3 linked regions of the Rhinolophus ferrumequinum genome follow. The protein of the gene in region 3 interacts with the protein of the main gene of each other region in a pairwise test. Links are inferred from orthologs where the notes say so. Each region holds a gene or a part of one and is shown on either strand. Other genes may lie near its edges. The genes, in order: KHDRBS3, FBXO7 and PSMF1.

What was found.
Region 1: the proteins of PSMF1 (region 3) and KHDRBS3 interact in a two-hybrid assay, tested with the Homo sapiens proteins (2 studies listed by BioGRID and IntAct). The link is inferred for Rhinolophus ferrumequinum from reciprocal best matches to the Homo sapiens genes PSMF1 and KHDRBS3.
Region 2: the proteins of PSMF1 (region 3) and FBXO7 interact in binary tests that used the Homo sapiens proteins (3 or more experiments, as listed by UniProt). The link is inferred for Rhinolophus ferrumequinum from reciprocal best matches to the Homo sapiens genes PSMF1 and FBXO7.

Annotation. Positions count from the first base shown.
Region 1 is NC_046297.1:68,449,087-68,452,832, forward strand, and holds the start of KHDRBS3 (KH domain-containing, RNA-binding, signal transduction-associated protein 3), read left to right. Parts: upstream 1-712; 5' UTR 713-780; coding exon 781-868; intron 869-3,746. UniProt on the Homo sapiens protein: RNA-binding protein that plays a role in the regulation of alternative splicing and influences mRNA splice site selection and exon inclusion. Binds preferentially to the 5'-[AU]UAAA-3' motif in vitro.
Region 2 is NC_046293.1:13,035,566-13,039,311, forward strand, and holds the start of FBXO7 (F-box only protein 7), read right to left. Parts: upstream 2,231-3,746; 5' UTR 1,310-2,230; coding exon 1,188-1,309; intron 1,084-1,187; exon of another isoform or gene 995-1,083; coding exon of another isoform or gene 958-994; intron 1-957. UniProt on the Homo sapiens protein: Substrate recognition component of a SCF (SKP1-CUL1-F-box protein) E3 ubiquitin-protein ligase complex which mediates the ubiquitination and subsequent proteasomal degradation of target proteins and plays a role in several biological processes such as cell cycle, cell proliferation, or maintenance of chromosome stability.
Region 3 is NC_046306.1:23,868,477-23,872,222, reverse strand, and holds the start of PSMF1 (proteasome inhibitor PI31 subunit), read right to left. Parts: upstream 2,295-3,746; 5' UTR 2,124-2,294; coding exon 1,995-2,123; intron 1-1,994. UniProt on the Homo sapiens protein: Plays an important role in control of proteasome function. Inhibits the hydrolysis of protein and peptide substrates by the 20S proteasome. Also inhibits the activation of the proteasome by the proteasome regulatory proteins PA700 and PA28.

The sequences.
Region 1 (3,746 bases), on a different chromosome or scaffold from region 3:
CATTCTGACCCCTGACCCGCGGGTACCACTGCACAGCTCTCCCACCGGGGTTGCTCGCTGGGTGACCTTGGACCGGCCGCTTGACCTCTCTGGGCCTCAGTTTGTCGGTCTCTGCCCCTGGCAATGCTGTAACAGCATCGCGGGGCTCTCCCAACGTCCCCAGGGCTGGAGGAGAGCGCGGAAAGGGGGGAGGAAGAAAGGAAGAAAATAAAGCGGAAAGAGCGAAGTAGGAGAGGCAGGTAAGGAGGAGGAGGAGAAAAGGGGGAGAAGGGGGGGGGATAAAGAGAAGGAGAGGAGGGAGGCGGCGAAGGAGGGCGGGGGGGGACGGGTGGGATGGGAGGGGCACGGCCCGGCGCGGCGGCTAAGAGCGCGGGGAGGGAGAGCGGAGTGCGGGTCGCGGCGGAGCGGGGCGCCGGCGGCGGCTGGCGGGGCTCGCCCGGGACTGCGGGAGGCTAGCTGAGCGCGCCGCCGGTCCGCCCGCGGGCCCGCTTGGAGCCCGCCCGCGCCCGCTGCCCTCTGCTGGGGAGCGGGGGGCCGCATCCGGGAGGCGCGGCCGCCAGCGCGGGGCACTCAGCGGGCGGCCCCCCCTCCCGGGGACCCGGGCGGCGCGGTCGGTTCCCACCCCGTGCCGCCTCCGCCAGGCCGACCGCCGGGCTTGGCGCGGCCGCGGCGACCAGCCCGGGTTCCGCGCCGCTGGGGCGCGGGCGCGGTCGCGAGTTGCGGGGCCGCCGCTGCCCGCCCGCGTCGAGTCCGCGTCCGGGGCCCGGGCGGCCCGCGAGCATGGAGGAGAAGTACCTGCCGGAGCTGATGGCGGAGAAGGACTCCCTGGACCCCTCCTTCACACACGCTCTGCGGCTGGTGAACCAAGGTGAGGGTGTGCGCCGCCGGTCGTTAACTGACGCCCGAGGCCATGGGGGCCGGGAAGTGGCGGCCAGGGGGCTCGGAGACGGGAGGGTCGGCACCGGGTAGGATGCGGCGGGCTTGGGAGGCAGAACTATGAGGATGGCTGGAAATAGACCTCGGGGAGGAGAGGAGGGCCCCAGGTAGCAATCGGGGGGGGGGGCATTTGGGTGGGGACCTGGGAGATATGGGACACCTGGGGAAAGCCAGAGATGTGAATTTGGGAGACTTGGGAAGGAGAAGCCTGGGGCATTGGGATGACACTTGAAGGCAATCCTTGGGGACTGGAGGACACCCAAGGGAAACTTCTGGGTGGGGGACAGCGAACATCTGGGGACTTTGTGGGGCGGGGGTTGTATTATCTCATCGGAGGGGAAGATCGGGAGGTAGCTCTGGAAACTAGTGTGGTTAGTCTAAAGAACTGGAGAAAGAGCTGGATGAAAATGGAAGGATTTGAGGAGACCAAATGCAGAAGATGCAAAGGGAACAGGTGCTGGGTTGTTAGTGAGAGTTTGAGGACCCTGGAGGAGGTTTGCGGGCAGACCCCAAGCCCGGGAGGGCAGGACCCAGCTGCCCTAGTGGCTGAGCCCAGTTCCCGCTCTCATGTCTGTATTTCTTCCATGCCCAGGCTCTAGCAGCCCTGGTGGGGCGGTCTGCCCTCCCTGGGGGGTGCACAAGTCATGCCAAGCCTCGCAGGCTGGCTGTTGCAGGGATCCATAGGGGAGAAGAGGTGACACAAGTGCCCCTTTTTGGCTTGCCTGTCCTCATTTTGGGAAGAGCTGAGTGGGCGACCCTCATTGGTGGCTGGCTCAGGGTTCAGAACACTGGCCAAGGAGTCTGCTGCCCATACCATTTTAGCACTAGTCCAGCCAGCTCAGGGTTTGAACAGTCCTGGGAATTACAGGACAGGGGCACACAGGGCTGAATGGAGGCGTGCCTGCCTGGGACAGCGTCCACTGGCTTGTTCATCCTCCAGCTTCCTGAATAATCTTCTGGGATGGAAGGTAAATGAAGTCTTCTTTCCCGGGAGCAGACCTCTTCTCCTCCTGTGTCTGGAATTCACGTTGCAGATAACGATGGGTTTGGGCCCACTTGTCTGCTTTTCTTCTGGGTTATGGCAGAAACATTATCCGGTCAGACGTGTTACCTTTTGCATGGCTCACTCTGTGCAGTGACAGTTTGTCGTCCCCGAGATGAATCGGGTCTGCTGGTCTTAACGCTGACCCTGGCTCTTTCACTGTCGAAAGTGAACAATGAGGCAGACATATTCTATTTGTACATAGATATCTATATTTTAAAACAGCAATCTCCGACGTTTGCCGATTACAACCAGTTCCTCAGACTGATGGTGGTGGAGAGACTCACTGTCTCCAAGAATTGAAGCATGATATTTGAATTGTTCAGCAGGCATCAGTATAGAGCGCTTTCCCATTTTGTTTTAATTTTAGGCTCATCTTGCTTGCTTTACTAAAACGGGCTTGTGGAAAGGTAATGGATATGTATTCTTAAATTTTATTCCCATGCCCTTCTGAACAGTCCTACAGTTAGGTTTGTACTTCTTGCTCTTTATGATTTACATAGATCTTTTGTTGCCTGCTGGGCTGTCATCTCTGTGAAAGAAATTTCTTTGTACATTGTGTGAGATGAGTGGCATTAGAAGTATTCTGGACTGTAGAATCGAGTGAATTTTTCTTCATAGAGAAGCTGAATCAAACTTACGTTGTACTCAGTTAAGGAAACAGTTTAACTAAAAGTTTAATGAGTTATTTCAAAAGTCAGATTTTTTGTGTGTGCCATAGTATTGTGTTGCTAATACATTTAAAGTTCTTTTGGTTTCTGTGTTTTTACTAGTGTTAATGGCCTCTGGTTATTTGAAATAGATATTGGACAGTATTGCTATTTAATGTTTTTTTAGATGTTAAACCTGATTACCTTACTTTTCCATCAAAAATGTAATTTTTGTAAGAAGTACATTTCTCACTCCTTCCTTATGTGAAGGAATAAAAGTGCTACTCATGTGCTCTTATTAATGTCAATTTAGATTATTTCAGACTGAAACGTTTTTCCCTTAAGTCAGAGGCTGATATCTAGGATGCAAAGTCCTATCGTTTAAAATATTAATGACGCTGTTATATAACTCGAAAATTACAAGTGCATTTCTAAAAGTGTCTTAAATCTGAATTTGGATGGTTATTAGGAAGCTTTGATTTTAAATCTGGTAACCATCTTATATTATTGACTTGAGGAAAGCGTTTTTATTCTTAGCTATATTTTTGACTCTTTGCCTCTAAAGGAAACTGGTTTTATTTTAGAGGTTACTCTGAATCTCGATACTAGAGTTGATATTCCTGCGCTAACTTGTACAGAGATGATGGTTCTGCAATGTGAATCTTCATTGTATTGTGGAATGGGTGGCAGGTCCAAATGCTAACACTACCTTATGTCTGCATAGTATTTTAAAGTTTCCAAGGCTCCTTAAGGCGCCTGCTATCCTGTTCTGTTCTCATGCTTGTATCTTTGGGAGGCTCACATGGATGTCTCCATTTCTCAGGGGAGAGAGCTTGGACTCAGCTATGCAAGCTGGGGGCAACTGACATGGATTGCCTTTGGACTCAGGTCTGTTATCGCTACCTGTGACTCCCCCAAAAGGTGGAACAAAACACTTTGCACGTGCCAATTAAAACCGTGCAGAAACCAGGTAATTAATATGCTTGCTTCTGGGTGACTTGATTTTCTAAATAAGTTTCTTCGTGTGTTTCTCCAGACGTCTTCCTTGCTGAAGTAACCATTCCTGGTAGATGTAGCCTACAGGATTTTAATGCTCAGGCCAACAAGGCACTTTTGAA
Region 2 (3,746 bases), on a different chromosome or scaffold from region 3:
ATGCAAAACAACTTAGGTTTAACACCAAGGAATAACAATAGGTATGTCACTTAATATAATGTTTAAAGGGGTTATGTCAATACCGCATTTTGTTTTTATTTCTCGTAATTTGGAAAAAAAAATGAGGCTTATTTTTAATGTAATAATGCCTTAATCTGAAAAATGAATGGGTGAGAAGTTCATAATATGGCTCATTTTATTGAATTTCCTAAAAATAAAATTTTAGTTTGTAAAAGTCTTATAAAAAGAGCCACTTAAATAACAAAGGTTTTCTTGTGAAGAATTCACCTAAAAAACCCCAGCGAACATCTTTTTTATTCTTTCCTTAGTACAAAATTCCAAATTTCTAGCTCCGTATTTGAAGAGGGCCACCGTTACTTTTGCCCCTCTATTCCCAGAATATTGTCCCCAGAAAATACCCTGTGGAAACAAAGCAGCCTCATCTGCAGCCCCATAAATGAATAACAGAATTTGATCCTTTACTTCTTAATGTCACTGCTCCCAAACTGCAAACTCTCCAGAGTCATCATAAGGCCTGCGTTTGCCTTAGTTTTAGCTAAAAGCAGCATCTCGCCCAGGATAATCATATGATTTGAGACACGCCGACGCGCCGCACTTTGTAAAACTTTGCGGCGGGTAAGTCAAAGTGGGCACCGCGGCGCCTGGCACGTAAACGTTCAATGGAGTCTTAAGATTACTGCAGCCTCACAGCGGCGGCACAAGTTTCAGATGGCCTCGGAGGGAGGGCCGATTGCGAACTCCTCCTAATACTTCCCAAACTTTTCAACTAACTACCCCATCAGCTGGAGTTGGTGAATTTAAACCCCTGAGAGCCTGGAAAGGTTTAACCCAAACCAAATCCATAATTTCCAACTTTACATTGGAAAGGGCGGAACGGTGTCGCGTGCTAGCCTACTCCTGGGTTCTGTTACTGCCAGAACGGAAGCGACGGCTCACCCTGGAGGGGCACGGAGCCCCCGCGACGCTGGGCCATGTTCTCCGCGAGCCGGGACCCCAGCGCCGCTCTCCGCCCGGTCTGTGTGCGTCACAGTCCCGGGGCGTCAGACCCGCGACGCGGCGGCCACTGCCCGCCGCACGTGACGGCCAGGCCCGCGCCCGCCGGCACGCCTCCCGCAGCCCGAGGCGCGCCAGCGCCTCTCCGCCGTGCGCCCGCCGCAGCCGCTTACCTGTACCCCCAGGTGGGCAGCAGGGCCTCGCTCAAGTGCTCACGCAGCTGCCCCAGCGTGGGCTCCGTTTCGGGCATCTCCAGCGGCCAGGTCTGCTTCTGAAGCCGCACCCGCAGCTTCATGGCGGCGGCGGCGGCGGGGCCCAAGGGCCTGGACCCGGAGGTGGCGACGGTGACGGCGGCGCGGCCGGACAGCTCCCGTCTCAAGCGGCGGCGGCGCCGAAACGGCGACTACCGGTGCTGGAGGGGTGCTGAGGGGTAACGGGGAGAAGGCCCCGCCGCGGCGGCCGCGCTGCGGGCGGGTCTCTTGAAGCGGAGCACTCGGCCCCTCTCCTGAGGGCGCCCTCTGGAGCTCACCCCGCGAGCGGGCGGCTGGCGTCCTGCCCGGAGCCAGGGTGCTCGGGAACTTGACGATCGATGACTCGGCGCTCAACGGCGCCACCTGGGAGCTCGAGGAGCGCGCTGCGCAGGCGCCGAGCCTGCCGCGGGCTGCGGGTGTCACGCGAGGTTCTTGCACGCCTTGGCTGTGCCCATGCCTTCCAGGTGTACCTGGAGAATGGTAGCGCTGAGAGGGATGCTGCAGACGACACACCTCGCCTCTCCGCCAGGTTAAGGTGTGCCTGGTTCTTAGCCCAGTTCTGCCGCGGCGCTCAGTTCCTGCGGCATCTGCTCTGAGAAGCCTAAGGTTGAGTTCAGGCTCTGGTCATTTGCTCCTGTTACAGCAAAATGTGAACCAGCTTGTGATCAGTGATCTACGTGTGTCGGAGAGTGTGTTAGTATCCTGTTGCCGCATAGCAATCGCCCCAAAGCTTAACAGCTGAAAACCACATGTGTTTACTGCCCCATAGTTTTTACAGGTGAGGAATTTGGGCCTGGCTTAGCAGGGTGGTTCTGACTTGGCCTCATGAGATTACAGTCAAGATGTAGGCCAAGTTTGCAGTCATCTGAAGTGTTGAGTGGGACTGGAGCATCTACTCCCAAGATGGCTCACTCACGACTGTTGGCAGGAGAGGTTAGTTATTCACCGCATGGACCTCCGTGTAAGGCCACTTGAGTGTCCCCATGACATAGCATCTGGCTTCCCTCAGAGCAAGTGACCCCAGAGAGACTACGGCAGAAGCCACAACGTCTTTTATGATCTAGCCTCAGAGGTCACATACCATCATTTCTGTCATATTCTACTGATCACAAACCAAGCCTTCAGTGTGGGAGGATCAACCCTAAGGCATGAATCCCAGTCAATAGTCAGGGATCACAGGGTGCCATCTGGGAGGCTGGCTACCATATAGGACCTGACAATAATGACGACGATGATAGCTTAGGTGAGGGGAAAAGTATCCAAAATTTATCCCTGTATTGTCCAAATCTTAAGAGTTGAATAAAGTTTCTCCCAATAGGTGGCGGTACTTGCCCACATCCTGATTCATTAAAGAAATGTATTGATCACCTTTGTGCCAGATATTATCCCAGGTGCTGGGGACTCAAAGATTGAAAAGACATGTTCCTACTGGTACAGTTTACAATTGAGTGAATCAACTCTTGCAGTAGAGTGTAATAAGTGTCTTTGTTTATGAAAGAGAGAAGAGAAAGTCCTAGGGATTAAAAGATATTGAGGAGCTTTGCTGTGCCAGTAGGGTTCTTTAGTGGCAAACAATATGGGATTGAGGAAAGGGGGCAGGATCAGGGTGTCTCGGTGTGGCCAGGGTAAAGGACAGAGTGAGTACATCCCCAGATACAAAATAGCCTTGGACTAAGCGAAGGATTTGGGACACATTCTAGAATGTATGGGAAGCTATTGGAGAGTTTTAAGTAGGGGCGTCTTTATCTAGCAGGGGTCTTAGTTCTAAGCAATAGAAGTTAAACCGGTCACTAAGCCAGAAAAGAGCATGTTAAAATGATACCAGATAGCTCAGGAAATTCCGGGGAGGACTGGAGAAGTGGCTCCAGGCTAAGCTTCCAGGAATGAAGCTCAGAACCATGCTGAAGAACTGGCCTGATGAGGAAATTACCATGACTGGGATCGCTGCTGCCACCCCACCCCACCCCGCACTGGAGGAAACTGCTGCCATTGCTATCACCCCTGGGGAATGGCTGCCACCTTCAAATGCCACACACTTTTGCAGCCTCCTGCACCAACAAAATGCCAAGTTTCCAAAAGAGCCTTTTTCCTCAGCTTACTCACTTCTAAATCAAAGGTTCATAGGGCTACATCTGATTGAGAAAGACCAAGTCCCATGCCTGAGTCCTGGCTGCAAAGGAGACTGGAAATTGAGGCCCAAACTACTTTCCTGGGGAAGTGGAACGTAAAATATTGGAATTTCCCAAAATATAAGAAGGCTGTTCAAAAGATGGTAGGAAGCCATGCGTCTGACAGGTGTACACTACAAGGAGCATGGGTCAGATCTGAAACGTGAACCTATCACGGATAGAGTGTGGAGGACATATTAGATCAAGATTTCTCAGTACTACTGGCATTTGAGGCCTCATAAGTTTTTGTCATGGAGGATTATTCTGCACCTTGTAGGATGTTTAGCAGTATCGCTGGTCTCTATTCACAAAA
Region 3 (3,746 bases):
GAGAAAAGAAGGGAGTCACAGAAGGCAGGCCCTGTGTAACAAGCTCCTGTTCCAGGAGAAGAGGTTCTGACGGTGTGGCAGCTCGTAGCAGCTAGCTGGGAATACACACGGCAAGTGAGATGTGTGCGGACGGGCAGAGAACAGGGTCGACCTGTAGGACCTGAAGGAGAGGGCAAGGGGCAGGGTGGGGGGTAGCTGAGGGCCCATGGGGGAGCTCCAAGGTCAGGACCAAATCTTACTCCGCTTTCTCATCCCACTGCCCCTTGCACATCCTACAAATTCTTGGGAGAACTTCCCAGGAAAAGCTGAAATGAAATGACTGGGGCAAGTGAAAGAACTGTCAAATACCGGAAAGCTAGAGTGGGGCAAATGAGGAGATATAGGTTTCTGTTGGGGAGACTATCCACTGAAAGGGCAGGCCTGACACTTCTGAGTGGGAGCTGTCTCTATTTGGTGAAAGGGTCTAAAATGATGAAAGACAAGGTAAGTGGATGGAGCGCAGGGTGAACAGAAAAGCCAGGAACAGAGACATTTGGGGGCAAGAAATGGTTCCTGTTTCCAGGTGTGTGTATGTGAAAGGCCAGTCCTTCCTTTCCAGCCTTATCTCCAGTCCTATAGTCCACACGAGGGAAGAAGTATATGTGAGCTTGGACGTGCGGAAAAGGGATGCTAAGTGTCTATGTGGGGTCCCAGTGAGAAACTAGAAGTTTGGGGGGGAGGGAGAAAAAAAAGAGAAAGTGAGAGAGAGAAAAATCCATGACAGTTCTTGGGCTTCTGATTCCTGTTGGTGCGGGCACAGAGACAGGGGTGTGGGCGTGGTGGTCACTAGTTCAAAGAGACAGCGGAATGGGGCAGTGAGAGCTCCGGGGAGTAGCTGGTTCTAAGTACTCAGGCCGTGTAAACCGTGTTTGAGGAGGGATCCCTAAAGCTCTCGGTCAGGAGAGGAAACATTAAGACTCTGGATGTATATCTGGGGAACTAAAAAAGGATTAGGGAGTTTGAGAGCTGAAGCAGTTAGAAATGAGAGTCAAGTTAAAAATCTCACTGTAAGATGCAAGGGGTGAGGTGCCCTGCTCCCCAGAACTGGTCTAGGTTCTGAGAGAGAGAAGAGAGAGGCAGTGAGGGGCAGGCTTGGAGTCCTGAGTGTGCGAGCAGTGACTATGGCTGGGAGGGTATTTCCTGAGGGAGGAGAAGGGAAATGAAGGGGGAGTAAGGAGGCTAGGCGCGGTTCTCACAGGAAGCCGCCGTGTAGTACGGGAGTCACAGGGACGAGGGGAGAATGGTACAGCAAAGAAGTAGTGAGGTAGGCTGTGCCCAGCAGTCCCAGGGCTCCCTGGGGGCTGACAAGGCCCCCAGCTGTGAGAGGCAGAGCCTGACATGGGAGGGCAGGACGGAGGGACAGCGGTGGGGAGGAAACCTTACAGCCAGGCTGTCTGTGTGTGGCAGGTACCTGTCTCCCCCAGCCCAGAGTTGGGAATGAGGGTGGCGAGCGGGATGCACTGGGCCGTTGATTGGGGCTGAGTAGGTCAAAGCTCACCCCTCTCCCTGGGCTTGGATCCAGTTATCTGATGGAGGCTAGAGTACAGTATGGCGGCAGGACTGAGTCCAGCTCCTCGTCCCCCACTGTGTGGGAAGGAGCTGAGTGGACGTCAGGCAGGTGAGGAGTGCGCATGGGAGGACAGCCGTCGAGGTGCCAGGTCCACATAAGCCTGGCCTGGGAGGCTGCTAGGCTGTGCAGAAGCGAGTTTCTGTCCTTGGGTTTTCAATCCCGTGCCAGCTGTGTCGGAGGGGCTTTGGGCTGAGCAGGGACAATACAGCACGTCGCCCACCCGCAGCCCACTTAGGCACTACACCCATAGGGTCGTGCACCCCAGGTTCCGAACTTGGGAGGGAAGAAGGGACAGGCGCTTTGGACCAGGCCTTCGGTCCTATGGGTTTGGGCAGAAGACACCTGAGCCCCTCCACCCTGATCCTGAACCGGCTCCGCGGCGTACCTGGTCGCCGGTGCCCAGGGCGTAGTAGCCGTGCGTCACCACCTCCCAGTGAAGGAAGCAGACGAGCGCGTCCTGCGCGCAGGTGATTGCCGGCGCCGCCGATGCGAACAGCACCTCCAGGCCCGCCATGCGCGTCCCGGGCTTCTGCGGGCAGAGGAAGTAAGGAAATGCGGTGAGCCTTCTCGGCCCTCCGAGGCCTGATAACTCCGCTCTGCTACTCCGCTAGTCCCGCCTGCGACTCCACCACCGGCCAAAATGGAGACTCCCCGGGGTGGGGGCAGGGCCGCCGGAAGTAGCTCTACAGGCTGGCGCAGCGGCGGCAACGCTCCGGGGCGGGACACTGGAGCGCGACACTTAAAGGTTCCGCCAGGTAGCGCGCGGGTGGGGCCCCTGGGGGAGCGGCCCTTCAAAGCTGGAATCCTTATCTTCCCCGGTTTCTGGCCGGACCTCTGCAGACAGGGTGTTTTGAGGAGAGGCCACTTCGTTCTGAGCCACAGACTTCCCACCCACAAAACGGGATGGGCGTATGCTAGTGGCGGGAGAGGTTAAGAAATATGGCTAAAATATGTTCATCATAATAGTTGGATCTTATGTAGTGCTTGCTATATGGCTAAAATATATTCATAATAATAGTCGGCTCTTATATTAGGGTTAGGGTTAGTGCTAATGTGCTATGTGCCACATTATTTGAAATGCTTTACTTCTTGTATTCATTTATGTAATCCTCACGACTTAACCTTATAAGGTTGGTATTAATGATAGCCCCATTTTACAGTTGGGTAAATAGAAGCACAGAGGGTAAATTTGACCAAGATGACTGTCACGGAGGGTCCTCTCCATACTGGCTGGAGAGCCATCCATGTCCTCCCACCCCTCCTCAGGGGTCCAACTTCTGAGAACAGTGGCTACTGGGTACCACACACTGTGTGGGGGCCACATGTCCTCCTGCAGAGTCAGACACCATTTCTACCTGGCCAGAATCCTGCTTGCGGTGCCAGGTGCCTGATTGGGTGGAGGCTACGGTTTAAGATGTCTGCAACCCTCGGAGCCTACGGCAGCTGCAGGCTACCAAAAAGCAGGTGATGCCTGCTATGGCTAACAGGGTGGCGTGCAATCTGGCAGCTTGAGAGACCCACCAATTCACTGAGGGGTAACATTTCTCCCAAACAGATCGCACCTCCTGTTCCCAGTGCTACTTCTCACGGGTCTCCCAAAACAGAGTTTATATGTATTAACAGCTCCATTACCTTTCGGATTGTTTTGGCCAACACCATACCCTAGTCGCTGCACAATTTGTCATTCAGGGTCTCTCGTCCCGCTCCCCACATAAGAACACAGGACATGGTGAGGCCAAAAAGGAACACCCATGGAGCCACAGATAGGGGAGTCATACCACTATATTCTCCCTGGTGGCTGGGTTGGAGACACAGGAAGCAGGAGCCACATGATCCGCAACCCGCCACCCGCTTCTCTGCCAACCAACCTCACTTGCTAACTACAATCAGTCTCCCTGCAATCCGCAATCCACACTCGGCCCCCTGCTAGTGTAGCCACGGCAGTTATATCAGTGGCTAATGGCTAACAGCTAACAGCTGACGGCCAACTAGTCACAGCTGATGGCCATCTACTACCCAAGCCAGCACCTTTCCATGTGAGGCCGAGAGCCTGGAAGCCCAAGCCAAAAGTAAGGGGGTGAGGTCGCGGGCCTCAGAGAGTAACACGCATGCAGATGTGGTGTGATCTCATGGCAGC